Linked DNA regions of Anolis sagrei. The protein of the gene in region 2 purifies or fractionates together with the protein of the main gene of each other region. This does not show direct contact. Links are inferred from orthologs where the notes say so. Each region holds a gene or a part of one and is shown on either strand. Other genes may lie near its edges. The genes, in order: PBRM1, BCL7A, DPF2 and SMARCD3.

Region 1 (8,070 bases), on a different chromosome or scaffold from region 2:
TACCACAATTTTCAACAAAATAGAGAAGACTGAAAAACACTGAATGATTATACTGCATATCTGAAATGAGGTATGGGCAGTTTCCCCAGATGGGACACTACTGGGGTATCCACGTGAAACTCATTTTATAATATAATAAACAATTATTACATAATAACAAGTCTTGTGAATTCAAAAAAGCTGCAAATTCCAAATGTTTGAACTAAAAATCACTTTTTATCTCCCTTTCTCTACTGAAGTGAAACAAATCTCTGGAACATGTATCAAACCTCAGGGAAAAAAGTTACATAATCTTACCTTTCTCAGTTCCTGGCAAAAGTGTTTCTTTGAATTTTTAGCAATCTGCTGGTTTGACTTCAATTTTTGTTTTTTCTTTGATTTCTAAGATACACGGGGATATAAGAAAATTTTTAATTCCAGAACTTATAACCAAAATGATGCAAGTAACAGAAACTTATCCATATAACAATTTGTAGATACTTTTTAGTCCAATAAAAACCCAACTTTTACAATGAAAAAAAGATTTTAAAACTGACATCCAACACCATTATATTCAAGTAAAGAAAACATATTCAGTGACAACTCATCTTTGAATTTCTATCTGTAGCAACACATGTTGTCAAAGCAAACTTTTAACATACCTCTCCTGTGCTATCATCCCAGTCAGATTCAAGCACTGATATAGAAATACATACCTTTTCACCTCGCATTACTTCACCACCATCCTTTTTATTTTTTTGCTGTGTACGTTTCTTTTCCAGCTCTTTCTGCCGATCAAGTTTTTGCTTCTGTTTCAGTTCTTCACGCTGTTCACAAAACACACACACAAAATTATATTCAGAAAGGCTTTCCCTCCACACTCAGCAAGGCATTAGCAATAACAGAGTACTTAGAATTTATTGCTATGTAATATTGCTGGCATCATACAACAGGAACTAAGGAAAATAAATTTTTTTTAGCCAGTCAGCGAAAAAACTGGAAACTTTGGGAGAAGTAGAAAAATAACTCTAATGGCATTAGAGATAGGAAAACATGATGCACAAGAATTGTCAATATCAACCTATTTCTAGCTTTTCCTGGACTGTGCTTGAAATTGTATGAGAGCAAAATGTATGCATTTACAATTACAGTTGAACTGATACTACAACAAAAATGCAACACTCAATCTAAATTAATCAGATTTTGCTGTTAAAACTCAAAACTAATTCGACATAATAAAAATATTTAAGAGGTGAAAGTTGCCAATATTTCCTAGATCAGAAGTCTGCAAACTGTGTGTTGTCACATCTTAGTGTGTCGGCTGCAGTGTGTAGGTGTGTCATGCGAATGTAGAATTTTAAAAATTCTTCCACATATTTATGTATTGCTACTCATAAATGACAAAAATCTTATAAATGTATGTTATTATCTTACAAATCCTATATTTACAAAAATCTAAATGAAAGGTTATCATATGTTGCACCCATATCTCTTATAAGGGGTTGGTTTAACCTCTGGTTTAGTAGTAAAACTGCATTAATGTGTTGCAAAATGATGCACGTCTAAAAAGATGTGTCACCAACATGAAATGTTTGGAAAGCTCTGTTCAAGATGATTCCTAACACAACTCCTGATAAGAAAAGAGGTTCGTTCTGAATAGAGATGGGAAGGCCTGGAAAAAACCTGGAATAATTGGGGGGGGGGGGGGGGTTGAATGTTTTTCCCCCAATTTTTCTCATTTTTTCCAGGTTTTCCCATCTCTATTCCTAACACAACTCCTAATAGGATAAGAGATCCATTAATGGTACAGCCTCTGTTGTTTTACCCTTTGTTTCCTTTGTTCAGCTTCTCGAAGAACTTCTTCCTTAAAAGGTGCAGAATTGGGAATTCCTAGGTCTTTCTTTGGTTTTCTATGGCCACGCTTCTTGGCTTCCTTCTTGAGTTTCCTCTTGTGTTCTCGTACCTATCAACAATAACAACAAAATATTTCTATTTTTTTTAAAGAAGCTTTATTGACAACCCACAATCAAAATATCACAATTTCTTTCTCAGGACTTTTCAATTTTTCCAGTAGAAAATGTGGAATTTCTGGGAAATAACAACTATAACTTTTATGGCTCAGAATGGCGAAACTAATTTATGGCAATATTTTAAATACCAGGAATGTAGGCATTATCTTGGGCATGCATTATACAAATGTTATTGTAGTTGCTGTGTGCTCCTTCAAGTCATTTCTGACTTATGGAGATCCTCAAGCAAAGTTATCATAGGGTTTTCTCGATATGTTGCTTCAGCGGAGGTCTGCTCTTGCCTTCCTGAGACTGAGAGAGTGTGACTTGTCCACAGTCATCCAGCCGGTTTCGATGGCGGCACTCCCCCCCCCCCCCGGTTTTTCCTGGAGAAACAGTAATTAATGCAATATTGATCTTGCAGGTGGGGAAGATGGCTGGAGCCACGTCGTTTTCACTCTCTGATCTTCTGAGTAGCACAATTAGAGAGGAATACTGCCTAGTCACTCTTATCTTAGGGGGAGTTTTGAACTTAACCAGCAATTCTATTAATCAACACTGAAGAAAAAAAAGAAGAGGGGTGAGAAAATCAAGTTGATCTGCTTAGCTTTTTAATGATTCTGGAGCTGAAGCAACATTTACCCAAACATTTACCCACTGTCGTTGCGGATTCAGCAAAACACTACTCTACTACTGTTATTCTACTAGAAGGTGGTTGTTATCATTTCCTCTCCCTGTTGGCACTGGTTGAATCAATAATTCATAGATCTCACCACATTAGACAGAGCAAGTACCAAATAGACTATTTATACTACAATGGAGACAAGAGATGATGGTGATAAAGTAGAATCTAACTCTGTTCTCCCTTAATGAAAGTGCTGCTAACTGGTCCATTGACCCATGTCTAATGGAAGTGACTCCCTAACCAGCACTGAAAAAACAATTGTCTTTATAAAGAAATTATAAAGAAATCTCTTCATAAAGAAATTAAAAACATTCTTAAAGAGAGTTCTGGCAGACTTCATCCAGCAGCTAAAGAGAACCTTGAACCGACATTGCATGACCTCATGTGAGGCCAATGCTTCCTAGTAGAGCAGATAGCATAAAATTATTTCAAAGAATGGATATACTACAAAGGGAAAGTTTCTGGCCTAAAAACTATCATTGGAGCTTTGGTTGGTCTGGTATTCTGACTGCAGCAATAGTTCACACCTACCTTTTTCTGTATTTTAAAACGTTTGTGGCAGGTCATGCGCTTACTAGCTTTCTTCAGCTCTGAAAAACAAAACATAAATGTATTAAAAGTCATAGGGAGGAGTGAGGAAGCTTGTTTTCTGCTGCCCTGGAGACTAGGACACAGAAAAATGGCTTCAAACTACAAGAAAAGAGATTCCACCTTAACATGAGGAAGAACTTCCTAACTGTGAGAGCTGTTCAGCAGTGGAACTCTCTGCCCCAGACTGTGATGGAGGCTCCTTCTTTGAAGGCTTTTAAACAGAGGCTGGATGGCCATCTATCGGGTGTGCTTTGAATACAAATTTCCTGTTTCTTGGCAGGGGGTTGGACTGAATGGCCCACGAGGTCTCTTCCAACTCTATGATTCTATCCAGAGTTATTTTTATCAGTAAGAACTATTACTTCTTACCCACCCCAGTTAAAAGTGGTGTGCAGATGTTTTAAATAAAAATGACATCTAGAGGCAGTAGATTTTCAGCTTTCAATCTCAACAAACACATCCAACTGCAGGCTTTAACACTAGATCAGGAATTTCAGGCCTAGGTATTATACTAGATCAGGTTCCTTCCAAATCACTCATGGAAACTGGCTGTTATTAATATCAATATGCTACATTTATTTATTTATTTAAAGTATTTATATTTCGCCCTTCTCACCCTGAAGGGGTCTCAGGGCAGATCACAGAACACATATACAGCAAACATTCAATGTCGATTATATAGTGACAAGATAGACAACAGATAGAGGTCTATATAGGCTTTCCCATCTTTTGGCATCTTTGGAGGCTGTGCTCGCTCCATCTCCTTGCCGAAGAGCTTTCTTTGTTCATAAACTTCCTCCTTTTTCTGACTGGAATGACTTGACTTTCCCACTTTAATGCAGTTCCTATTTATCTATTCACATTTGTTTTCGAACTGTTAGGTAGGCAGAAGCTGGGCTAAAGGTCAGGGGCTCACCCTGACCCGGGCTTCGAACTGCCAATCTTCCGTTTGGCAGGATTTATTGCAGCTTGGTGATTAACCTACTGTACTAAAGCCCGGCCCAACTTTTGACTAGATATGTTTTTTTTTTAACATGAGAAGCTTCCAGATGGAAGAGTGTGTCAATAAATGAGGAATTAATCTGCTCAAAGTTGCATGACAAAGTTTCTTGTCTTTCTTACTGTATATCCATTTAACTAATGAAGGCATTTAAGGAGCCCCCGGTGCCGCAATGGGTTAAACCCTTGTGCCCGCAGGACTCAAGACCAATAGGTCGGAGGTCTGAATCTGGGGAGAGCGTGGATGAGCTCCCTCTGTCAGCTCCAGCTCCCCTTGTGGGGAAATGAGAAGGCTCCCACAAGTCGAAGGGTGCATTTGGATCAGGCCTGGGCCAACTTGGGCCCTCCAGGTGTTTTGGACTTCAACTCCCACAATTCCTAACAGCCTACCGGGTGTTAGGAATTGTGGGAGTTGAAGTCCAAAACACCTGGAGGGCCCAAGTTGGCCCAGGCCTGATTCAGATCCTTCTCTCATCTCCTTCCTCGGTGCCGCTGTGAAGGAGAGGTGGAGAGAGAGAGAGAAAAGAAAGAACCCTCCCCAAAGTGCTCCTGACAAAAGCCCTGGCTAAAGCATTCCTTACTGGGCCGCCTCATGATGGCTGCTGCTGCGTCTCCTTCCGCCTGCCTTCCTCTCCACGTGCGACAAAAAAACGGGAAGACCTTCGCGCCTGCGCAGTTGCGGCTACCATAAAGCACGCTCCGCTCCTCCTTCTTTCCCCCTCCCCCCTTTTGTTCCTGGCTGTCGCACGCCCAGCCTCGCTTGGCGGCCGAGCTTCTCTTTCACGACAGCGGCAGGCTCGCCTGGGAGCGGGCGGAGAGCAGCAACAGTGGCGACGCCGAGGGCCCGGGGGGCCGGGGGGGCCGAGCGCGGCCGCGGCTGCAGGAGGCCCAGGCTCAGCGGCAACGCCAGCAGCGCCGCCCCCGCCGCCGCCGCCGCCGGAGGAGGGACCGGAGTAGCCGCGGGCTGGGTAAGCGCCGAGGGCGAGGGGCCGGGCTTGGCTTGGCTCAGGCAGGCAGGAAGGAAGGAGGCCGCGGCAGGCGCCCTTTGTGTGAGAAGAGCCCTCCTCTCCCTCCCTCTCTCTCCCAAAACGATGGGCACCAGATGGTCTTGGAGGTTCTGACATTTTCCCAGAATATTTGCGAATCATAACGTCATCATAACAATAACAAATGTGGTTTCTTACCTCCCTCTCCATAAGGCTAAGTCAAACATAGAGAAAGTACATACATAAAACCTGAGGTCATTCACTAGAAATGTTGCACGTTCATAACAAAATAATAATCATAGTTAATATGTTTCTGACCCCCTTCTCAAGGCTAGGTAAACCATAGTTAAAATATATACTGTACAGTTATGCGCGAACCAATTGTACAGGTGTGAATGATTATGGAGGGAATTAATCTCAGGCCTCAGTTGTGTATAAGAATATATTATAGAGGAGGCCAATTATTACTTGTAAATTAAGGTAACTGCCGCCAACGTGAGGTATTTGAGGTACCACCAATGAGATCTGGCTTTACAGACGCAGATTAATTGAGACGAGACGGTCTTCAACAAAAGATAACAAGTTTATTGTGTACAAAGCGTATGGTTGCAGGCTGTTAAATAACTTATAGAACTTTGAATATCACTTTGTTTGTAATACAGTCCACTCTTCCAAATAACACAGCTGGTGGCTTTTACTGAGGTGAAGCTCTTTAGTGAACAATGTTTCCTACTATGAATAGCCTTCCAATTTGATCTTTCCTTGATCAAATCTCTGATCTCTAGTCCTTCCTTGACTAGGGATCTTAACAAGCTTCCTTTAGTCTTCCTTGACTAAAGAAATTGGCCAGGTTTCTCTCTTCAGCCCTTCTAGACTGAAAAACCTCCAGCTGCTCACACATACCTCTCTCCCAGGCTTTTCAAGCCTCCACACTCACTCACACACTGCCCCTTTTTCTGCTTGGCTCCGCCCACTTCTCACTCTCCTGAGCTAGCCTGCCTGGTCTCCTTAGCAACGCTCACTGTGGATTCAAACCAGATAACTCTAGTTTTAGCTACTGTTGCAAACACAAATATATACTCTAACAGTTAAACACATACATAGTATCAATGACTTCTGCACAATACGTAAGACATGAGATCAAAATAAGACTGAGTATTCTTCACTAGAAAAGCTGAACATAACAAAATATTATTAATATTATTAATAATTATTATATTCCTTACCCACTTCTGAAGTTGAGGCAAACCATAGTTAAAATACATACATAAGACATGGGATCAAAATAAAGCAGAGTATCCTTCACTAAAAAAGCTTAACATCCATAACAAAATAATATTAATATTATTAATTATTATTAATTATTATTATTTCTTACACACTTCTCAAGGTGAGGTAAATCATAGTTAAAATACATACATAGGACATGGGATCAAAATAAGACTGAGTATCATTCACTAGAAAAGCTGAACATCCATAACTAAATATTATTAACATTATTAATAATTATTATGTTCCTTACCCACTTCTCAAGGTGAGGTAAACCACAGTTAAAATACATAAATAAAACATGAGAGCAAAATAAGACTGAGTATGCTTTACTAGAAAAGCTTAACATCATAACAAAATATTATTAATATTATTAATAATTATTATTATTTCTTACGCACTTCTCAAGGTGAGGTAAATCATAGTTAAAATACATACATAAGACATGGGATCAAAATAAGACTGATTATCCTTCACTAGAAAAGCTGAACATTCATAACAAAATATTATTAATTAATATTATTATTAATTATTATGTTCCTTACCCACTTCTCAAGGCGAGGTAAGCCATAGTTAAAATACATACATAAGACATGAGATCAAAATAGGACTGAGTATACTTCACTAAAAAAGCTGAACATCCATAACAAAATATTATTAATATTATTAGCAATTATTATGTTTCTTACCAACTTCTCAAGGCGAGGTACGCCATAATTAAAATACATACATGAAACATGAGATAATTAAAGGTTGAATATCTCTCACTAGAAACATTGCACCGAGATTGTGGCGCAGCTGGCTGAGTGTCAGCTGCATTAAGATCACTTTGACCAAAAGGTCATGAGTTCGAAGCCAACCCCAGGCTGGAGTGGGTGTCCAGCCATTGTGTAGCCTGTTGTTGACCTTTGCAACCCGAAAGACAGTTGCATCTGTCAAGTAGGAAAATAAGCTACCACCTTGTGTGGGAGGCTAAATTAACTAATTTATGAGGCCATAAAGAAAACTCAGGGATGTGGAATGCAGAAGAACTTCATCGGTGTCGCTGATGGACGATGAAAGCAGCAGCTCCCCTGGCGGCCAGAAAAAAGTTAAATAGCCTCTGTATATTGTCTGTATTTGTTGTCTGTCAAACTGGCATTGAATGTTTGCCATATATGTGTACACTGTAATCCGCCCTGAGTCCCCTGCGGGGTGAGAAGGGTGGAATATAAAAACTGTAAATAAATAAATAAAATAAAATTGCATGCTCATAACAAAACAATAATAATAATAATGGGTTGCTGTAAGTTTTCTGAACTGTATGGCCATGTTCCAGAGACATTCTTTCCTGATGTTTCGCCCACATCTATGGCAGGCATCCTTATTATTATGTTTCTTACCCATTTCAGGTGAGGTAAACCATAGTTAAAATAGATAAATGAAACATGACATCAAAATAAGACAGTGCCCTTCACTAGAAAAGCTGAATATTCAGAACAAATTATTATTAATTATAATTATTATGTTTCTTACCCACTACTCAAGGTGAGATAAACCATAGTTAAAATAC
Region 2 (7,004 bases):
CCATTAGGACTGTTGGTGGCTTGGCTTTTCAGCACAACAGCTTGGATTTCTCTTTTGAAACCCCCTTCTTAGTTCTGTATTGGAAAGGACATTTTGGTCCTTTGTTTAATACAAGTTGAATGGACTGCTAACAAGCCTTCTAGCTTTTAAAACAGAGACCATCCAGTATGAAAAGAGCAGTATAAATCTATTTGCTGGATTCCATTCATAAACACCTAGAGATGAACAAAACCTGGCTCTGTTTTATCAGACACAAAATCTTGAGCTACATGAAATTGAAGGACACCGGCTCTGTATGAGCTATTCACTTGCCCAACACAAAACAGGCTAAAATTACAAAAACACAATCAAGTTCACCAAAATAAGACTCTCTAATTACATTCATATCATGTCATCTGATCCAAAAATACCAAACGACACCATGATTGCCTATTGTCTCTCAATAACCATTTCGCTGCATTGTTTTAAGTATGCCACAATGACTTCCACAATAGAAACTACACAATAACCCCCTGCAAAAGAATGAAACGCTAAAATGCTGTAAAGGTTTAACAAAAGGGGATGATTCTACCAGGTTACAACCTTCAATTATATAATTTCAAATAAATTCAAGCAGCAATTACAACCTCTTTCTAACACTGAATTTAAATTGTACAAATCAAACAATACATACCAGCATACATTTGACTTACTGTGTGAAATAAACCTTTATAATAGATCCATCTGGTTGACCCATTCCAATTAAAATATTGGGGGATGTACATATTTTGCCCTTTATATGGCATTTAAAGGAAAAAACTATTCTTTCAAGCCTCCCTTCTGAAAAGTGTCTGAAACGGATTTAAGCTAACCCTTCACACTTGAAAGTGCACAAAGGTTTTGAAGGAAAAGATGAAACGTTTCTTTTGCAGCAAAGTAAGCCTGTCACATAAACGCCCATCCTATTTGCCATTTTTGTGCCTATTTAATATCAAATCCTTCTGATTTGAGAGAGAGAAAGAAAATAAAGATATATAGGCCACAAAGCACATTCTCCGATCTTCCACGCTTCAGACAAAAGGAAAGGGAACCAATTGGGAGTCAAATGACACTTTAGGACTGATCAGAAAGAGGCTGCACAAAGAGAAAAGCAGCCAGAACAGCAAAAGTTCACCGGAAGGTGAGGATGAGAGATGAGCCCATGAGCGGCAAGAGTCCACTCAAAAGCAGATTGAGAAGGGTTTCCCCCCCCCCCCTAAGAATATGAATATTCACAGAAATGAGGGATGTGCCCTCTGGGAAGAGTGGCCCTGAAAAAGGTGAAAAGGAAGTCAGGAGATCCTTAGATGGGACTGTAACTCAGGTACATGCTTCACCTGGAGAAGTCCCAATCAGGGGCAGATTGGGAAGGGAGAAAAGGAGTCCCCAGTTCAAAAAGATCTCACTGATCAAAGTAGGGTGGAGAGTAGTTGAACTGGAGTAATGATCCAATTCTGTATGTAAACCAGATTCATTGCTAGCTATTGGGGGGGGGGGGGGGCTAACAGGAGAAAAAGTCAGGATAGGACAGAAAAGGCTACAAGAGTTCAGACAGAGGAGAACAGAGATTTGAATACTCTGCTGGTCTGAAGAAGGGTCCAGCAGAACAAAATGGGAGAGGATGAAACCACTCCTGGGGTGCATCACAGGCTGAAGTATCTATCTATCTATCTATCTATCTATCTATCTAATAAAAGTGAAAATATGTTTGTATGTATGAATGTATGCTTGTATCTATGTGTTCAAGATGGCTCTCACATTGAGAGAGAGTCCCATGACTCCTGCCAGCGACAAATCTGGACCAAATTTGGCACGCAGACCCCCACAGGACCAAATTTCAGTCCTGACAAGTTGGGAGGGAATTGTCCTTGGATGTTGGGAGTTATAGTTCAGCCACAAACAAAAGACTCCTCTAAACCCAGCTGATGATGAATCTGGGCCAAACTTGGTACACACATCCATCATGGCAAACTTGGCCAGGTTTGGGGAATACTGGCCAGGTTTGGGGGGTGGGGACTGACCAGGACGTTAGGAGCTGTTGTATAGCCACATTTTTTGGCCTTTTCGAATAGGTCTACTTCTAAAAACCAACGCCATGCAACGACAGACAGCTTCTAATGTGGATCCTTCTGAAAGAGCAAATGCTCTTTTGAAAGAGAGTATGAAAAGAAATCTAGGGCGGGAGGGAATGAGAAGTCGGTGGGTCAGTCAGGGCTGAGCTGTGAAGGGGTCATGGGGGCAGGGAAAGCAAAGGCCTTGGGCCAATAAGAGAGGCGGCTGCGTAGGAGAATGAATGGGCAGGGTGGCGGGGGGAAGAGGCCAAAGGAGCCAAGGAGGGCACAGGACCAAGGCTAGTGCTGGGAGTGGGGTGAGGGAAACCGAACCTGGGGAGGAATGGATCCCCTAGCAGGGGAAGGGGGGGAGAAGTCTTGCCTTGGGGGTTATGGGGCAAGTCTTGGCTGTGAAGGGGGGTTGTCTGAAGAAGACTGGAGCAGATTGGGAAGGGGAGAAAGGGAGGGCAGACAAGGCCAAGGGATGTGGGGCACTAGGAAGCGACCCAGGAGGGGGCGGGGCCTGTTTGGGGGGGGGGGTAGAAGCAACTGAAGGGAAGAGCTGGAGGAGAGGCAGGCGAAGGAAGAGCGGGGGTGGAGTGGGGGAGAGAGAGAAGAGCGAGCCTATCTGCCCCAAAGGAAGCCAGCACTTGGAGGGGGGAGGGCGGGTTCTAAGGGCTGCCCCCTTCCCTTATTCTCCAAAGGAACTCCTCCCCCAAAAAGGACTACCCTGTGCCCTCTGCTCCCCTCACCATTTGCGGACTTTCTCGATGGCGGCCATCACCCGCTTGATATCATCCTTAGCGCGGCTGCGGGTTTCGGCCCGCACCGACCGGCCCGACATGCTGCTGAGGCGGCGAAGGGGGTTGGACGCGGCGCGGGGGGGGGGGGAGGCAGGCTCCGAATGGACGGCTCCCTCCCTCGCTGAGGAGGTACAAGAGGCAGCGGTAGCAGCAGCAGAGGGAGAACAAGTCCGGCCTGGCTGGTTGGCCCCCTCACGCACAATGAAGGCTCCTCCCCGCCTCAGCCCGCCTCGAGGGAAGAAGGCAGGCAGGGAGGGAGGAGCAGCACGCGGAGGCGGCACTGCGCAGGCGCCAGCGCGGAGCACGTAGCCTTCCCGAGCCCGTTGGGGGCGGGACCTGTGCGAGAGGCAGCCTTCCCGCCCATTTGGCCGCTGAGGGCATGGAGTTCCCTCAGGGTTGGCCCTCTACCTTGGGAAAGGCTCGTTGTCTGTTGACGCCTAGCCTTTCCAAAAGTGGAGAGCCAAGCCTGAGGGGACTTGAGGCGTTTAACGACCGCCTTCTAAAACACCTTCTTTTCTGCAGTCCATAAAGCACCATTTGTACAAAGGAGAAGACCAGTCCCAAAGCATCGCAAGCCCAACCACAAGTTCCCATAGGGCTGGTGTCCAAAAGGAAAGCCCGCCAGGCCCTCCATTTCTTCTTCGAAGAGACCCCAAACGCCATGCAGTCCCAATGCCATTCGCTATTTTATGTGTCACAAGCCAGTTGAGAATACTGTTACAATGTATTAAAAAATACAAGGAAAGTTAAAAGCTTGGCATTATACCAGATTTCCTCTGACCAGAAGCTGGCCACTTGGAATGCCTCTCGTGTCACTGTGAGAAGGTCCTCAATTGTGTATGTGGTTGCGATGTAATAGGTCGTCAGCAGTTTGCTCTTCTCCACACGTGCATATTGTGGACTCCACTTTGCAGCCCCATTTCTTAAGATTGGCTGTGCCTCCCGTAGCGCCAGAGCGCAGCCTGTTCTGTGTGCCCAGGAGGGAGTTTCTCATCTGGTTTCAGCCACTGATTGAGATTCTGGGTTTTAGCTTGCCATTTTTGGATTCCCGCTTGCTGAGGTGTTCCTGCAAGTATCTCTGTAGATCTTAGGAAGCTGTCTCTTGGTTTAAAGCGTTGGCGTGCTGGCTGATATCCAAACAGGATGGGCCAGAGATGCCCATGGCTGCTACTTCCCGACAGATGTCAGGTGGTGCAATACCATCTAAACGAGGGGTCCTCAAACTAAGGCCCGGGGGCCGGATGTGGCCCTCCAAGTTCATTTACCTGGCCCTCGCTCAGGGTCAACCTAAGTCTGAAATTACTTGAAAGCACACAGCAACAACAATCCCATCTCATCAGAGATAGTTTATATTTGTTAAAATTGTTCTTCATTTTAATTATTGTATTGTTTTAAAGTGTGTTTTGCACTACAAATAAGCTATGTGCAGTGTGCATAGGAATTAATTAATGTTTTTTTCCCAAATTATAATCCGGCCCTCCAACAGTTTGAGGGACTATGACCTGGCCCTCTGTTTAAAAAGTTTGAGGACCCCTGATCTAAACAGTATGATTTCTCCAGCAGTGTAGAGCGTAGACATCCTGTGATAATGTGGCATGTCCCAATAAGAGACACATCCACTTTTTTGTGTTTTTTTTCCTTTTTTTATTATATACTAGTTTGGGGACCCGGCACTGCCCGGGTAATTTGAGAAAGGAATTATGTATCAAGGTTGCTTATTTATCAGTGATTTATATGGCTCGCAGTGGTCTCAGGAAGTTAGTGAAGGTACTGCAAGTCCCATCATCTGTGGTCCTTCCTCCTCCAAACTGCACCAGAATGGAGAGTGGGTCGTGGGGGCTCTGTGTGCCAAGTTTTGTTCTTGATCAATCATTGGGTGAGGGTCACAGTGGTCTCAGAAAGTGAGTTTAGGTACTGCAAGTCCCATCAGCCATAGTCTGTTCTCCCCCAAATCTCACCAGAATGTTGAGTTGGCCATGGGGGCTCTCTCTGCCAAGTTTGGTCTTTCTTGGTATTTGGATAAGTGTCGCTGTGGTTTCAGGAAGTGAGTGAAGGTACTGCAAGTCCCATCATCCATCGTCCGCCCTCCTCCAAACAGCATCAGGATGTAGAGTGGGTCATGGGGGCTCTGTGTCCCAAGTTTGGTCTTCATCGGACATTAGATGAGGGTTGCAGCCGTCTTGGGAAGGGAGTGGAGGTACTTGAAGTCCCATCATCCATGGTCTGTCCTCGAAAGTGCACCAGGATGTAGAGTGGGTTATGCGGACTCTGTGTGCCAAGTTTGGTCTTGATCAGTCATTGGCAAGGGTCTCAGTGGTCTCAGGAAGTGAGTGAAGTGACTGCAAGTCCCATCATCCATTATCAAATTCTTCCAAACCGCACCAGGATGTAGAGTGGGTCATGCAGGCTCTCTGTGTAAATTGTGGTCCTGATCCATCATTGTTGGCAGTTGTAATGGTCTTAGGAAGGGAGTGCAGGTATTGCAAGCCCCATCGTCCATGGTGCATCCTCCTCCAAACTGCACCAGGATGTAGAGTGGGTCATGGAGACTCAGTGTGCCAAGTTTGGTCTTTATCGGTAATTGGATGAGGGTTGCAGTGGTCTCAAGAATTGAGCCAAGTTACTGCAAGTCCCATAATCCATGGTCCATTACCAGCCAAACCACACCAAGACGTAAAGTGGGTCATGAGAGGTCTATGTGCCAAGTTTGGTCCTGATCAGTCATTGGATGAGGTTAACAGCGGTCTCAGAATGTGAGTGATGGTACTGCAAGTCCCATCATCCATGGTTCATCCTCCTCCAAACTGCAGTAGGATGTAGAGTGGGTCTTGCGGGCTCTGTGTGCCAAGTTTGGTCTGTATTGGTAATTTTCTGACAGAGCCCCTGGCCTTTTCCTTTCCTCTCTTTGTCATCTCGGAATCTTGGAATTGAGGCTAGCCAATCAGAGACCATATGCAAATTTCCTTCTCTCATGTCTCCGTTTCTGCCATGAACCCTTTTCTCCACCAGGGGCTCCTGTTGGAGCTGGCCAATCAGAGACCATATGCAAATAGCACCACATTGGCGGCCAATCGGAATCTTGGAACTTTCTGGCTGGCCAATCAAAAAGCCTGCACATACACCGCCACACTTCCGCCGCATACAAACTTTGACTTTTATTATATACTAGCTTGGGGACCCGGCGCTGCCCGGGTTATTAGAGAAAGTGGGTAATGGCAGTTCTGTATGCCAAGTTTGGTCTTTATTGGTAATTGGATAATGGCTGCATTGTTTTCAGGAAGTGAGTGAAGGTACTTGAAGTGCCATCATCCATGGTCCACCCTCCTCCAAACAGCAGCAGGATATAGAGTGGGTCATGGGGGCTCTGTGTGCCAAGTTTGGTCTTTATCAGTCATTAGATGAGGGTGGTAGTGCTTTCACTAAGTGAGTGAAGGTAATGCAAGTCCCATCATCCAAAGTCCATCCTCCTTCAAACTGCAGCAGGATGTAGAGTGGGTCATGGGGGATCTGTGTGCTAAGTTTGGTCTTGATCAGTCATTGGATTAGGGTCGTAGTGGTTTCAGTAAGTGAGTAAACGTACTGCAAGTCCCATAATCCAAGGTCAACCCTCCTCCAAAACTGCAGCAGGATGTAGAGTGGGTCATGGGGGCTCTGTGTGCCAAGTTTAGTCTAGATTGGTCATTAGATGAGGGTTGAGCAATCTTGGGAAGGGAGTGGGGGTACTTGAAGTCCCATCATCCATGGTCTGTCCTCCAAACTGCACCAAGATGTAGAGTGGGTCATGGGGGCTCTGTGTGCTAAGTTTGGTCTTGATCAGTCATTGGATGAGGGTAGCAGTGGTTTCAGTAAGTGAGTAAACGTACTGCAAGTCCCATAATCCATGGTCAACCCTCCTCTAAAACTGCAGCAGGATGTAGAGTGGGTCATGGGGGCTCTGTGTGCCAAGTTTGGTCTAGATTGGTCATTAGATGAGGGTTGCAGCAATCTTGGGAAGGGAGTGGAGGTACTTGAAGTCCCATCATCCATGGTCTGTCCTCCTCGAAAGTGCACCAGGATGTAGAGTGGGTCATGGGGACTCTGTGTGCCAAGTTTGGTCTTGATCAGTCATTGGCGAGGGTCTCAGTGGTCTCAG
Region 3 (6,975 bases), on a different chromosome or scaffold from region 2:
GGTATTGCACCACCTGACATCCGCCGGGAAGTAGCAGCCAATAGTGAAAGGACCAAGGCAGAGACATCTCCAGCTCATCCCTTGTTTGGGTATCAGCCAGCACGTCAATGACTTAAATCAAGACATAGTTTTCTTAGATCTACAGAGACACTTGCTGGAACACCCCAGCAAGCGAGAGTCCAAAAGTGGCAGACCCAAACCCAGCACCTCAATCCATGGGTGATACCAGATGAACGACTCCCCCCTGGGCACTCAGAAGAGTGGGCGACTTGGAAGGCTCTGAACAGACTGTGCTCTGGCACCACGAGATGCAGAGCCAACCTTCAGAAATGGGGCCACAAAGTGGAATCCACGGCATGCGAGTGCGGAGAAGTGCAAACCACACACCACTTACTCCAATGCAGTCTGAGCCCCGCTACATGCACAATGGACAGGGGCGGCTCAACCCATTACACAAAGTAAGCATTTGCGGCATAGTTGATTTTGCACAGGGGCGCTCTTGGGGGAAAATAGACCTTGACATATGTGTTGTTACTGGGATGTATAGTTCACCTACAATCAAAGAGCATTCTGAACTCCACCAATGATGGAATTGAACCAAATATGGCACACAGAACTCCCACGATGAAAGGAAAATATATATCAGTGATTGGTTGGGGGGGGGGGGGGAATACTGTTTGCTTACCATTGAAAATTACCTAGGGCCACCTCTGACAATGGAGGACCTTCTTACAACTGAAGTCGAACGTGACCCCCCCCCCCACCCTCTCCCCAGAGATAGTAACTTATAGTTTTGCTAAGGGCAAGGACACCAGGCTGGATAACAAAGGTTAAGCCTTGGTCAGTTTGGTGGGTATCATTCAATCAAGGCTTTATGCTCTATTCTCATATGTTTACAGCAGGAGGTAACCCATTTATTACTGAAAATAATAAGAGTTGCAGAGATGCAGAGCCAATCTTAAGAAATGGGGCTATAGGGTGGAATCCTCGGCATGCGAGTGTGGAGAAGAGCAAACCACTGACCACCTGGCACCTTGAGCCCTGCCACATGCACCATGGAGGACCTTCTTGCGGCAACCCCAGAGGCACTCCAAGTGGCCAGATACTGGTCAAAGGACATTTAACCAACTACCAAGTTTGCAAAATCTGTGTTTTTTTTTCTTTTCTTTTTAATCTGTGTGTTTGTTTTGTTCTGTTAGAATTGTAATATAATGGTATAGTTGCTGATGACACGATAAATAAATAGCCCCAAAACAAAGAAAGACACCTGAGACACCTGTCGCACCTGAATAGCCATCCAGCCAGAGCTGGTAGACCTCCTCATCGATGAGAGTAGTGTTCCCCACGAAGATGTCCAGATTGCTGGCCATGTTGCCTCTGAAGATGGAACAGGAAGCTGCAAAAGGAAGGTAAAATATAATTCATTTACATCAGGCATGGGCAAACTTCATCCCTCCAGGTTTTTTGGACCTCAACTCCCACAATCAAAGGTTTCAAGCTCTGAGGATTTCCTGGAAAGGAATCTCTCTGGAGCACTGCAGTACACCCAAATACCTGGGAGTTACTCTGGACTGTACTCTGACTTATAAGAAGCACTGCTTGGTGGAGAGGTGGCTGCCAAGAGAGCAGAAATGGTCCACATTTACTAACGTTACACCGTTACGCTGTATTCCTGGCATTGGAGAGGGATTGGCTGGTGACTGCTGGAAGACCACTTGGGTTTTCTCGATGTTCAATGTCATTGGAGTTTATTTATTTATTTATTTATTTATTTGGTTTACTTTTACCCCGCCCTTCTCACCCCGAAGGGGACTCAGGGCGGCTTACACATCCAAGGCACAATTTGATGCCCATAGCATACATCAATAATAAGCAATAAAACAAAATAACAAATTAGCAAACAACAACAACAACAACACATTGCATCTAAACCCGTTAAAACCAATAAAACCAATAAAATTTCATACAAACCGATACAAACCGCTTCTTCCTTCTTGGCAGTCAGTGTTCGCTATCTCATGGTTCAGAGTTTTCTTCCACATTTATCAGTCCACATATATCAGTCCTGCCGGTCCTAATTGCCTGGTTGTCCTATCTAGTTAGCAGATTGCCCGAAGGCCTGGTCCCACAACCACGTCTTTGCCTTTCTCCTAAAGGACAGGAGTGATGTCGATGCCCTGATATCCACTGGGAGTGAGTTCCACAGGTGGGGGGCCACCACTGAGAAGGCCCTGCTCCTCGTCCCCACCAGCCTTGCTTGGGAAAGCGGTGGAGTCGAGAGCAGGGCCCCCTCAGATGATCTTAAATTCCGTGGTGGGACGTAGAGGGAGATACGTTCGGACAGATACGCTGGACCGGACCCGTACAGGGTTTTGTAGGTCAAGACCAGCACCTTGAATTGGGCTCGGAACTGAACCGGCAGCCAGTGGAGCTGACACAGCAGAGGGGTGGTGTGCTCTCTGTATGTCGCCCCAGTGAGCAGCCTGGCTGCCGCTCGCTGGACCAGTTGAAGTTTCCGAACCGTCTTCAAGGGCAACCCCACGTAGAGCGCGTTGCAGTAGTCTATTCGGGATGTAACAAGAGCGTGGACCACTGTGGCCAGATCAGACTTCCCAAGGAACGGGCGCAACTGGTGCACAAGTTTTAATTGTGCAAAAGCTCTCCCGGCCACCGCTGAGACCTGGGGTTCCAGGCTCAGCGATGAGTCCAGGATCACTCCCAAGCTGCGAACCTGCTTTTTCAGGGGGAGTGTAACCCCGTCTAACACAGGCTGTAACCCTATTCCCTGTTCGGCCTTACGACTGACCAATTACTTGCTAGGAAGTGCATCAAGGGGACGAGTATACACTGGGACAGGCATGGCATTATTGTTCATTCCTCAAAAGCAAGGTGGAACAGCCAAGTTTTCAAGCTTTTCCTAAAATATCACATGAAAGCTGTTCCTCTTTATTTTCCCATCTTTCCTTTAGTTGCTTTCCCTCATTCCTCCCTCCCTCCTTTTCTCATGTCTTCTTTCTCCTTCTTTCCTTCTCTCTTTCCATCATACAGAGAAGCCATTGAAATCCACAAGCATGAGGACAATTTCAACAGAAAGGAAGAGACCATGAAAATGAACAAAATCTGGCTACCAGTATTAAAAAAAACTCTAAAATTACAATAGCAAAACAACAGAGGGGAAACAAACAGGCACAGAAAATCACTCTCAACAAAAGATTCCCCCCAGGCACTTCCAAGCCATTGAATGCTAATCAAGCTGGCCAATTGCAACATTCACACCTAGCCCCAGCAGACAAGAGTCCTTTGTCCCACCCTGGTCATTCCACAGATATATAAACCCATTTTTCCTACTTCCAACAGACCTCATTACCTCTGAGGATGCTTGCTATAGATGCAGGCGAAATGTCAGGAGAAAATGCCTCTAGAACATGGCCTTATAGCCCGGAAAAACCTACAATAACCCAGTGATTCCGGCCATGAAAGCCTTCGACAATACATTCTGCCCCTCTCTCTCCTTACCTTTTCTCCTCTCAACCACAACCACCACCTTTCTCTGTAGTAAATAAGACCTTTTGACCCTCTTCCTGGCCAAACTGGGGCTCACGCATGCGCAGACCCCGAGTGTCACTCTCCAGGCGCCATCTTGGCTCCTGGCACTGCAACCTCTCCTCTTAAGATTCCACAGCCAACCGCATTCATAGCGAAACGCAGTCTTGTCTTTTTTTTGGTCGCTCAGGGCATCCGTCGAAGCCTCCTGTGGCGTAAAAAAAAATGAGATCATTCAACGCATGCGCACACAAACTACACCCCGTTCTCGGGATTGAACAGCATGAGCTGGGAACAGCGAAGGGTCATGCGCAGCCACGGAGCGCATGCGCCGTGCCGTGCGCGAGCATCCCTCATGAGAGCCCGAGCGGGCGGTTCGCGCAGGCGCAGTTGAGGCGGGCAAGATGGCGGCGGTGGTCCAGAATGTGGTGAAGCTGTGAGTGGAAATTTTCCTCTTGTGTTCCCCCCTCTTTTCCGTCAGGAGTGGTACAGCCCGAGCCTTTGCGAAGCGGGAGCAGAGGGCGGGCCCATTCCATTCGCAGGGGGGAAAGGGGAAATCTTTGTTGAGGGAGAAGGAGGAGAGTTGTTGGGTCTTTTTTCTTCTCATTGTTTGGCCCTAAAGTTTATGATACATATGAGCAGGATATAGTGGAGCCAGAGGAGAGAAACACAGGTGAGTCAGTGCCTTAAAGTTTCCAAAGTAAGGTTTGTGGAAGGGAAATAACACTTTTGTTACTTGAGGCGGGCCTGAGGGAAAAGGAGGCCTTCAGGAATGGAGGAAGGACAACTCCACCTCAATGAATGGTGTCCTGAGGTGGAAGGGATGTTGTTGGTGTATACTAAAGTGTGCATTGCCTGGGTTTGCTTTTTCTTTGAAGCTCTTTCTTTCCTTCCTTCTCTCTTTCCTTCATCTTTCCTTCTTCCTTCCTTCTTTTCCCATGTCTTCTTTCTCCTTCTTTCCTTCTCTCTTTCCTTCATACTCCTTCGCCCTCTCTCTTTCCCTGCCTTCCTTCAGTTGCTTTCCCTCATTCCTCCCTCTCCTTCCTTCCTTCCTTCTTTCCTCCCTCCCTCCCTCCTTCCCTCCCTCCTTCTTTTCTCATGTCTTCTTTCTCCTTTCCTTCTCCCTTTCCTTCATACTTCTCCCTCCCTCTTTCCCTTCCTTCCTTCAGTTGCTTTCCCTCATTCCTCCCTCCCCTCCCTCCCTCCCTTCCTTCCTTTTTCTCATGTCTTCTTTCTCTTTCTTTCCTTCATACTTCTTCTCCCTCTCTTTCCCTTACTTCCTTCAGTTGCTTTCCCTCATTCCTCCCTCTCCTTCCTTCCGTCATTCCTTCCTTTTTCTCATGTCTTCTTTCTCTTTCTTTCCTTCTCCCTTTCCTTGATACTTCTTCTCCCTCTCTTCCCTTCCTTCCTTCAGTTGCTTTCCCTCATTCCTCCCTCTCCCTCCTGCCTTCCTTCTTATGTCTTCTTTCTCTTTCTTTCCTTCTCTCTTTCCTTCATACTTCTCTCTCTTTCCCTTCCTTCCTTCAGTTGCTTTCCCTCATTCTTCCCTCGCCTTCCTTCCTTCCTTCTTTCCTCCCTCCCTCCTTCTTTTCTCATGTCTTCTTTCTCTTTCTTTCCTTCTCTCTTTCCTTCATACTTCTTCTCCCTCTCCTTCCTTCCTTCTTTTCTCAAGTCTTCTCTCTCTTTCTTCCCTCTCCCTTTCCTTCATACTCCTTCTCCCTCTCTCTTGTCCTTCCTTCCTTCAGTTGCTTTCCCTCAATCCTCCCTCTCCTTCCTTCCCTCCCTCCCTCCTTCTTTTCTCATGTCTTCTTTCTCCTTCTTTCCTTCCCTCTTTCCTTCATACTTCTTCTCCCTCTCTCTTTTCCCCACCTTTTCTTCAGTTGCTTTCCCTCATTCCTCCCTCTCCTTCCTTCCTTCCTTCCTTCCTTCTTTTCTCATGACTTCTTTCTCTTTCTTTCCTTCTCTCTTTCCTTCATACTTCTTCTCCCTCCCTTTCCCTTCCTTCAGTTGCTTTCCCTCATTCCTCCCTCTCCTTCCCTCCCTCCTTCTTTTCTCATGTCTTCTTTCTCTCTTTCCTTCATACTTCTTCTCCCTCCTTGCCTTCCTTCCTTCAGTTGCTTTCCCTCATTCCTCCGTCTTCTTCCTTCCCTCCTTCCTTCTTTTCCTTCTCTCTTTCCTTCATACCTCATACTCACTCTCTCTTTCCCATCTTTCCTTCATTTGCTTTTCCTCATTCCTCTCTCTTCCTTCCTTCCTTCTTTTCTCATGTCTTCTTTCTCCTTCTTTCTTTCTCTCTTTCCTTCATACTCCTTCTCCCTCTCTCTTTCCCTTCCTTCCTTCAGTTGCTTTCCCTCATTCTTCCCTCTACTTCCTTCCTTCCTTTCTTCTTTTCTCGTGTCTTCTTTCTCTTTCTTTCCTTCTCTCTTTCCTTCATACTCCTTCTCCCTCTCTTTCCATTCCTTCAGTTGCTTTTCCTCATTCTTCCCTCTCCTTCCTTCCTTCCTTCTCTCCCTCCTTCCCTCCATCCTTCTTTTCTCGTGTCTTCTTTCTCTTTCTTTCCTTCTCTCTTTCCTTCATACTCCTTCTCCCTCTCTTTCCCTTCCTTTAGTTGCTTTCCCTCATTCCTCCCTCTCCTTCCTTCCTTCCTTCCTTCCTTCCTTCCTTCCTTCCTTCCGTCTTTTCTCATGTCTTCTTTCTCTTTCTTTCCTTCTCTCTTTCCTTCATACTTCTTCTCCCTCTCTTTCCATTCTTTCCTTCAGTTGCTTTCCCTCAGCCTTCCCTCTTCTTCCTCCCTCCCTCCTTCTTTTCTCATGTCTTCTTTCTCCTTCTTTCCTTCTCTCTTTCATACTTCTTCTCCTCCCTCTTTCCCTTCCTTCAGTTGCTTTCCCTCTTTCCTCCCCTTCCTTCCCTCCTTCCTTCCTTCCTTCTTTTCTCATGTCTTCTTTCTCTTTCTTTCCTTCTCTCTTTCCTTCATACTTCTTCTCCCTCTCTTTCCCTTCCTTCCTTCATTTGCTTTCCCTCATTCCTCCCTCTCCTTCCTTCCTTCCTTCCTTCCTTCCTTCCTTCTTTTCTCATGCCTTCTTTCTCTTCCTTTCCTTCTCCCTTTCCTTCATACTCCTTCTCCCTCTCTCTTTCCCTTCATTCAGTTGGTTCCCTTCCTTCTTTCCTTCCTCCCTCCCTCTCCTTCCTTCCTTCCTTTCTCATGTCTTATTTCTCTTTCTTTCCACTCCCCTTCCTTCAGTAGCTTTCTTTCATACCTCCTTTTTCTTCCTTCCTTTCCTTTCTCATCCTTTTTCTTGACTTTTTCTTTTTCCTTCCCCCTTTCATACTTTCTCCCTCTTTCTTTTCCTTCCTTCTTTCAGTTGCTTTCCCTAATACCTCCTTTCTTCTCTCCTTCCTTCCTTTCTCATGTCATCTTTGGGCCCTCCCACA
Region 4 (8,123 bases), on a different chromosome or scaffold from region 2:
CCAGATCCCTTCCAACTCTTTGAATCTATTATTCTGTCTATCTATCTATCTATCTATCTACCTATCTATCTACCTATCTATCTATTAGGCCTGGTCAATCTATGGTTCTAAATGGTTCTAAAGTACTTACAAAACTTAAAGTTCTGGTGGTGAAAATTTCAGAACTCTAACAAAACTTTCAAAATGTAATTATTATTTCATTATTGGTGATTTTTAGGATAGAACCATCTAGGAACTGCCATTTATAATGAAATTTTGAGAATTTTGTTAGAGTTCTGAAATTTTCACCACCAGAACTTTAGTTTTGTAAGTACTTTAGAACCATTTAGAACCATGGATTGACCAGGCTTACTATCTATCTAGATAAAGGTTTCCTCTTGACGTGTCCAACTCTGGGACTCTGGTACTCATCTCCATTTCTAAGCAGAAGAGCCGGCATTGTCCGCAGACGCCTCCAAGGTCAAGTGGCCACTGGCATGATTGCATGGGGAGCTGTTTACTTCCTGCCAGAAGGAGCGGTACCTATTGGTCTACTCACATCTGCATGTTTTCACACTGCTAGGTTGGCAGAAGCTGGGGCTAACAGTGGAAGCTTCCCCTGCTCCCTGGATTCTAATTGCCAACCTTTTGATCAGCAAGTTCAGCAGCTCAGCGGTCTAACTCACTGCACCACTGAGGGCTCCTATAATATATATGTGTTTGTGTATGTGTGACTGGAATTACACTTTAAAATGTCCCCGTTCTGACTGACAAGCAAATTCAACTTAAGAACAAACCCTCAGAAATGTTTGTAACTTGGGGACTACCTGCATTTCCCCCCTCCCCAAAGAAGGAAGTTGAACTTTTCCTGAAAAGGACCACTCAACAGGGGAAAGAGGGGCCCAGAATGGCCCCAGCCCCCACAGAGGAGCCTTCAGTGGGGTGCAGATTGTGTTTGAGTGTGTGTGGGGGGGAGGGGGGGTCACCTGAGCTCCTATTTTGCCTCCATTTCCCTCCCCTCAAAAGAGAAAGAGGAGCCACTTGGCCCAAACTGGACACAAGCACTTTGGCCCCAAAGGAGATCCAGAGAAGGAAGAGGACCTCGGGTGAGCCTCCCCTCCCCTCCCCAAATAATGCCCCCCTCCACTCTCAGACTAGGGAGGGTTCCACATTGAGGAGGGGCGACTGGTGTGGCCCCAGAGAGGAGGAGCCAGGAGAGAGGGACCCAGGGGCCACAATAGGTCTCAACAGGGATCTCTGGACAGCCCCAGAGAGGCAGGTGGTCAAAGTTGGACCGTCCCCACTGGCATTGTGCCCCACTCTTCTTTGCCCCCCCCTCCTTCTCTGCAATGGGGCTGCTTCTGAGAGGCAGGGAGGGGGCACCACCTGCCCCGTCAGGTCTTCAGGGGTCCTTCCAGCCCTCTCTGGCCTCAGTGCCTCCTGGCCCAGTTTTGAAGGGGCTGCATCACCCACCCACCCCATTTGATGCTTCTCTAAGCTCTCCCTGGGGCTGAACCTGTGGGGCCTGCCCCAGTGAGAGAGAGATGCCCCCAGCAGAGCCCCTTGCACACCAAGATCCCTTCTGCCTGCAGCTCAGGCCCACGATTCAGAAGGTCTCCAGTGCTCTACCTGGCCTTGGCTGCCCACCGTCCACCTCTCTGGACACTGCCAGGTCACCTGTTGACCAAGCCCTGCTTGCTCTAGTCTTGGCAGAAGTGGCCCTTCTTGGCCGCTGCCTCCAGTGGGCTTCCGCCCCAAGAATCATAGTTGGAAGAGACCTGGTGGGCCATCATCCAGTCCAACCCCCTTCTGCCAAGAAGCAGGACAATCACGTTCAAAGCACTCCCGAGAGATGGCCACCCAGCCTCTGTTTCAAAGCCTCCATAGGAGGAGCCTCCACTTCTGCTCCAGATTCATATTTTAGAGGGACACTTCCATCTTTTCACAGAAGATGTTTTGGGGGGACTTGCAGCTCTGGCCAAACTCTTGAAGGAGGCTGGACCGTACCCTCCATGGCCCCCCACCCCACCCTGCAAGCAAAGGAGCCCCCTCTTGAGTGACACATGGACAGCAAAAGGAGAGAAGGGGCCCCTTCTTTGGGAGTTGCCGACCCCCCCCCTTCCTCCACCTCCTCCTGGACTGGCCCTGCTGCCCCCTGAAGGGCCTGGCTGACCCTTTGCTACTTCACTGGACCTCACCTGTGGGAGGAGGAGGAGGGGGGTCCAGAAGAGGGCAACCCTAGGGGGGGGGGGGTTGGGTGGAAGGAGCCTTCTCCCTGACAGAAGGGGGCGGGGCTGGGGTCTTCATGACCCCCCCCCCCCCGCCTGTCCCCAAAACTGAGCTTGGATTCCCCACAGACACACACTCCTACCCCCCTCAGCTGTACCCCCCTGGAGTCCTCATGACTCCCCCTTGCATATCCCCAAAACTGAGCTTGGCTTCTCTTGTGTTCCCCACAGACACACACTCCCACGCCCCCACCCCTCAGCTGTACCCCCCAGGCTTGGGCTGCATCCCAAAGAAACAGCTGCCCAGAAAAGCCCCCGCAGCTGCTCTGGGACGGAGGGAGGGAGGGGCACCTGCGGAGACCTGAGGGGGGGGGGGGGCGCCGGGCATTTCCTCTTCCCAGTGAACAGACTCCAGGCAAAAGTTTCCGAGGGTCCTCCTGGGCCGGCTGCCGAGAAGCCCCCTCCTCACACACTTTGCCCTGCTCTATCCAGGAGGCCAAGCCCCCCCCCCCCTCTCGAAGATCCAGAGGAATCTGAAGCCCCCCCCCTCCTCCCCGCAAAGGCATCTCCCAGGCGGGGAGGGGGACGGGGCGACCCCCCTCGGCGGGGCACCTGTTCGGGGCAAGGCACGTGTGGGGGGGGGGGGGCGGGGCGGGCCAGCCTCTCCCCTCCCTCCTTCCCTCCCTCCTGTCCCCCTCCCCCCCTCACTCACCACCCCATGGACCAGGAACTCGAAAAGTTTGCTCTTGGTGGCCTTCCGCGCCCCGCCGGTCACTTCCTCCGCGGCCATGGGTCCGGCTGGGCGAGGAGGGGCGGGAGAGGAGAGAGAGAGAGCGGCGACCAGGGAATAGGGGGGGGGGGGCGAGGGAAGGCGGGAGGGAAGGAAGGAGGGAGAGAGGGAGGGGCCTGCTTTCTCCGCCCGCCTTGCCTCCCCTCCCCTTCCCTTCCCTTCCCCGCCGCCGCCGCCCCGGCCTCCTTCTCCTTCTTCCTCCGGCCTCTCCCGCCTTCCTGCCTTCCGCCGGTCGAGAGAGAGAGAGAGAGAGGCCCAGGGGGAGGGCGGAGGGGAGGAGGGGGAGGGCGGGAGGAGGGAAGGAGGGAAAGAGGGGAGGGGTCCGCACGGGGCGCCGCGAGGGACGGCCCCAGGCGGCGGAGCAGAGGCACCAGCTGCGGCCCAAATTCCTCCGCCCAAGACAGAGAGAGAGAGAGAGAGAGAGAGGAGGGGAAGGGGGGAGGGAGGGGAGGGGGAGGAGCGGACCCTCGGGAGGACACCCCCCCCCCCACGCTCAGACCCCGGACCGGGAAGGGGGGGAGGGAGGGAGGGAGGGAGGGGAGGAAAGAAGGAAGCAGGCGCCGACAGACACAGAAAGAGAGAGAGAGGAGGGGAGGGGGAGGGAAAGGGGGAGAGGGAGGGGAGGGAGGGGCGGACCCTCGGGAGGACACCCCCCCCCCCACGCTCAGACCCCGGACCGGGAAGGGAGGGAGGGGAGGAAAGAAGGAAGCAGGCGCCGACAGACACACAGAGAGAGAGAGGGGGGGAGGGGAAGGGAAAAGGGGGAGAGGGAGGGAAGGGGAGGGGGAGGAGCGGACCCTCGGGAGGACACCCCCCGAGTTCAGACCCCGAGCCGGACCGGGAAGGGGGGGAGGGAGGGAAGAGGAGGGGAGGAAAGAAGGAAGGGAGGAAGGAAGGAAGGAAGGGGCCTCTTCCCCTCCCGGCCGCACAAAGGCTCCTCCCCGCCCCTCCCCTTCTCTCTCTCTCTCTCCCCCCCCCCCCCCCTCGGACGCCGCGCCCTCCCTCCCTCCCTCCCTCTCTCCCTTCCTCCGCCGCTTCCGGCCTCCTCTCCCGGGTCAGCCCCCCCCCGAGAGCCCCGCCCCCACCCCTCGACGCCCCCTCCCTCTCTCCCTCCCTCCAGAGGAGCCAGACCCGACTCTTCCCCCCCACCCCGAGAGGAAAGGCATGGGATCCGATTACCCCCCCCCTTTCCCTTCCCGCCGCAACGAGGGGGGGGCGCACTTGCCGTCCTTCCCGGCGCCGCGGTGACCGGCATCTCCGGCGCTGGTCTCCCTGGCAACAGAGGCGGCGTTGCCAGGTAACGGGAGGGGCGTGGTACCCAAGGGAGGCTCGAGAAGGAGGGAGGGAGGGAAAGAGGGAGGGGCGTACGCCCCTTTGGAGGGCGGGGGCTGCGGAGAGACTTCGCGCGGGAAGGAAGCAGGGAGGGGAGGGGAGGGGAGGAGGGAAAGGCCCCCTCCTGGGGAAAAGACCCCTCCTCCGCGGCCCCCTTGGCGCGGGGGGGGGTTGTCTCCTCGCCCGACTCCACCCCCTTGCCCCCCTCCCGAATAGCTACCTCCTCTGAGGGAGGGAAGGAGGGGAGGGCGCATGCGCAGAGACTTCTCTTGTCTCTCCCGTGAAGGTCAGTCAAGCGGACGGCGGGAGGGACGGAGGGGGGAGGGAGGGACGGAGGAGGGGCTTCCGCTCTCCCGTGTTTGGAAACGGAGGCTCCGGGACACGCGCCGCCTCCCACGAGAAGGGAGGGAAGAACCTTCACATACCCCTCCCGCCTCCCCCCCCCCCAGCATAGGGCTCCAAGACGGGGGGGGGGGTCCCGCAGCCAAGCCGGAAGCCAAGCCTGAAGCCCCTTCCCCGCAGGACGGGCCCGGCCCCGAAGGGAAGAGCGGGGTCGGTGGGGCCGAAGGGGGGGCGGCGTGGTCCCTCTTGGCCCCCCCCCTCCGGACCTCCTCCACCCTGCCCGTCTCCCAGGATGTTGCTGCCCAGAGCGGGACCAGGCGAGAGACCGGAGGGAGCCAAGCAGGAGAGAAGTCGGGGGACGGGGGGGGGGGGGCACCCCAGGAGAAGGGCTCGGGCTCCTTTGGCAGCCGCCGAGTCACACTCGGGGCTCCCACTCAGCTTGGGCTCTCCTCAGACCCCTTCTGGACTGGACCCCTTCCCCACGGAGGATTCTCAGGAGATCCCTTTGACCAACAGCCGGGTTTTTCTTTTCTCTGTCAGGAGCCACTTGAGAAACTGCAAGTTGCTTCTGGTGTGACAGAATTGGCTGCCTGCAAGGACGTTGCCCAGAGGACGTTGGTATGGGTGCAGCTGGTGCACAAGTCTTAGTTGTGCCAAAGCTCTCCTGGCCACCACGGAGACCTGGGGTTCCAGGCTCAGCAATGAATCCAGGAGGACTCCCAAGCTGCAAACCTGGTCAGTCGAAACTGACCAGGTGTAACCCCACCTAGCACAGGCTGTAACCCTATGCCCTGTTCAATGGCCTTACGACTGACCAGGAGGACCTCTGTCTTGCCTTGATTCACTTTCAGTTTGTTAGCCCTCATCCAGACCGTCACAGCGGCCAACCACCGGTTCAAGGTCTGGACAGCCTTCATAGTAACAGGTGGGAAGGAGTGACAGAGTTGGACGTCATCTGCGTACAGATAACACCTTACTCTGAAACTCCGGATGACCTCCCCCAGCGGCTTCACGTAGGTGAACATCGGGGACAGTACTGAACCCTGAGGGACTCCACAAGACAACAGTTGTGGAGTCCAACAGGTGTCACCCAATAACACCTTCTGGGACCGACCCTCCAGGAAGGACCGAAGCCACTGCAGAGTAGTACCTCCAAGTCCCATTCCCACGAGGCGTCCCAAAAGGATACCATGGTCGATGGTATCGAAGGCCGCTGAGAGGTCCAGCAGAACCAACAGGGACACACTCCCCCTGTCGAGCTCCTGGCGTAGATCATCTACTAAAGTGACCAAGGCTGTCTCAGTCCCATGTCCCGGCCTAAAGCCAGACTGTGCCGGATCTAGATAATAAGTGCCTACCAAGAACCCCTGGAGTAGCGAGGCCACCACACGTTCCATGACTTTGCCCAAGTAGGAAAGATTGGAAACTGGCCGAAAGTTGACGATTGAGTGGGGTCCAGTGATGGCTTTTTCAACAGTGGTTTAATAACAGCCTGTTTTTTTATGCTGGCTAGAATCTTGCCCTCTTGTAAGGAGGCATTAATCACCACCTTGACCCACTCTGCCAAACCCCCTCTGGCCTCTTCTGTCAGCCAGGATGGGCAGGGGTCCCAGATGCATGTGGTAGGCTTCGCTACTCCAAGGATCTTGTCCAGGTCCTCAAGCTGAACCAATTGAAAAGAATCCATCAAAACCGGACAAGCAGGTGCTCGTGTCACATCTTCAGAGACTGCCGTTAAAGTGGCATCGAAGTCAGAATGGATCAGAGTGACTTTGTCTGCAAAGAACTGAGCAAATGCTTCACAGCGATCTGCCAAGTTGTCAGGGATCTCGCTCTGAGGTGGATTTAATAGTTCTCTGACAACTTGGAACAATTCCACTGGATGGTTCTTAGCGGACACAGTATTGGTCACAAGAAATGTTTGTTGTCGGGGATCAAACTCTGAGGCGGATTTAATAGTCCTCTGACAACTCAAAACAGCTCAGCTGGACGGTTCTTAGCAGATGCAATATTGGCCACGATAGATGTTTTCTGTGCAGCCTTTACTGCCGCGTCATAGGTCCTTAAAAAGGAACCCAGGCGTGCTCGAGCTGATCTGCTATGCTTCCGCCGCCACACACACTCTAGCCTCCTCTTCTTTCACTCCATCGCTGCCAGCTTCTCAGTGAACCAAGGAGCTGGTTTAGCTTGGTTATTGGTGAGGGGGCATTTTGGAGCGATCGGGTCTATTGCCCTGGTCATCTCCCTGTCCCAGAGAGAGACTAGAGCCTTGATAGGGTCACTTACCAAAGAGGCAGGAAAATCCCCAAAAGCCGTCAGGAATCCATTTGGATCCATAAGTCTCCTGGGGCAGACCATTTTAGTGGGCCCACCTCCCCTGCAGAGGTGGAAAGACACAGTAAGTCCCTTTGCCTACCAAGCTAGCAACTCATTCATTCTCTCTCTCTCTCTCTCTCTCTCTCTCTATATATATATATATATATATATAGAAAGGATATTCATCCAGCATGACTTGTTTTTGAGAAATCTGTGCTAATGTCCGCATGGCATCCCTTTGCAATGCTTAGAGATAGTTCTAGAGTCTTTCCTGGTAGGTCTTGATGCCAGGCTGACTAGGCGGTTCTTGTTTGGGGGCCCCTTTTGAAGAGGGGGCCACATCTGCCCTCCTCCAGCCTGTGGGAATGCCCAAAGGTGATGGTCACTAGTCCTGAAATGACTCCTGCCTGTTCTTTCCATATTCTTGGATGGCGTTCAACCTCACCTGGAGATAGAGGTTTCATTGAGATTAGCCAGGTATCCTTGTCCTGCCTTTACCTGTTCTGTGCTGCATTTCCCCCATTGCTTCATTGACTCCCTCATCCCCAAGTGGAGCACCGTTGCTCTCAGACTTCTCCCAAAAGGTAAAGAACCTGTGGAGCAACTTGGCCTTTTGTCTGTCCCACCGGCCTTCCTTCCACCCTCTTGTTCAGGCCGTGGCCCCGCTCTTTCCTCCTCCTTCTTTCTTTTGCTCCCCAAAACCTCCTCTGAATTCATTCTGCGCTTTGGCCTTTCTGGCTTTCTCTCTACATATGGGGTGGGGGCTATTTCCAGGGTCCTGGTTCCTGTAAACATTTCCTATTTTCCCTCCTTGTTGGAGATGTTTGAAATTGTGCCACCAATTCACAAGGAACTTTCAAGAAACTCCTTTCCATCATGGACTCCTCAGGAGAAGATAGTTGCTCCTACCACATCCAGTCCATTTCTCCCTTCTCCTTGAACGGGAAGGAGAGCCAGAATGAGGCCCTGGGCACCACGGCCCTTGGGCTTCTTGCCCATAGATCACCTAGGTGACCTCCTGAGGGAGATGCCTTGCAGTGCCATTGCTTCCCACAGGGACCAGAAGGAAGGGTTTTTGGTCTGTGGGCTTGGTGCGCCTCCTCCATCTCTCTGTTCCATCACAGAGACAGCACTCC

The links.
Region 1: the proteins of BCL7A (region 2) and PBRM1 purify together in Homo sapiens (affinity purification with mass spectrometry; 3 studies listed by BioGRID and IntAct, counting the BioPlex papers as one, with this or other methods). This does not show direct contact. The link is inferred for Anolis sagrei from reciprocal best matches to the Homo sapiens genes BCL7A and PBRM1.
Region 3: the proteins of BCL7A (region 2) and DPF2 purify together in Homo sapiens (affinity purification with mass spectrometry; 3 studies listed by BioGRID and IntAct, counting the BioPlex papers as one, with this or other methods). This does not show direct contact. The link is inferred for Anolis sagrei from reciprocal best matches to the Homo sapiens genes BCL7A and DPF2.
Region 4: the proteins of BCL7A (region 2) and SMARCD3 purify together in Homo sapiens (affinity purification with mass spectrometry; 4 studies listed by BioGRID and IntAct, counting the BioPlex papers as one, with this or other methods). This does not show direct contact. The link is inferred for Anolis sagrei from reciprocal best matches to the Homo sapiens genes BCL7A and SMARCD3.

The regions. Positions count from the first base shown.
Region 1 is NC_090022.1:68,112,552-68,120,621, forward strand, and holds the start of PBRM1 (protein polybromo-1), read left to right. Parts: upstream 1-5,052; 5' UTR 5,053-5,231; intron 5,232-8,070. Other genes in the region: GNL3 (guanine nucleotide-binding protein-like 3), read right to left, coding at 298-381, 696-806, 1,805-1,942, 3,205-3,263, 4,845-4,857. UniProt on the Homo sapiens protein: Involved in transcriptional activation and repression of select genes by chromatin remodeling (alteration of DNA-nucleosome topology). Required for the stability of the SWI/SNF chromatin remodeling complex SWI/SNF-B (PBAF).
Region 2 is NC_090034.1:32,155,381-32,162,384, forward strand, and holds the start of BCL7A (B-cell CLL/lymphoma 7 protein family member A), read right to left. Parts: upstream 3,126-7,004; 5' UTR 2,914-3,125; coding exon 2,822-2,913; intron 1-2,821.
Region 3 is NC_090032.1:10,258,424-10,265,398, reverse strand, and holds the start of DPF2 (zinc finger protein ubi-d4), read left to right. Parts: upstream 1-3,919; 5' UTR 3,920-3,947; coding exon 3,948-3,979; intron 3,980-3,992; exon of another isoform or gene 3,993-4,216; intron 4,217-6,975. Other genes in the region: FIBP (acidic fibroblast growth factor intracellular-binding protein), read right to left, coding at 1,286-1,396, 3,517-3,778. UniProt on the Homo sapiens protein: Plays an active role in transcriptional regulation by binding modified histones H3 and H4. Is a negative regulator of myeloid differentiation of hematopoietic progenitor cells. Might also have a role in the development and maturation of lymphoid cells.
Region 4 is NC_090026.1:134,051,539-134,059,661, reverse strand, and holds the start of SMARCD3 (SWI/SNF-related matrix-associated actin-dependent regulator of chromatin subfamily D member 3), read right to left. Parts: upstream 3,058-8,123; 5' UTR 2,998-3,057; coding exon 2,920-2,997; intron 1-2,919. UniProt on the Homo sapiens protein: Involved in transcriptional activation and repression of select genes by chromatin remodeling (alteration of DNA-nucleosome topology).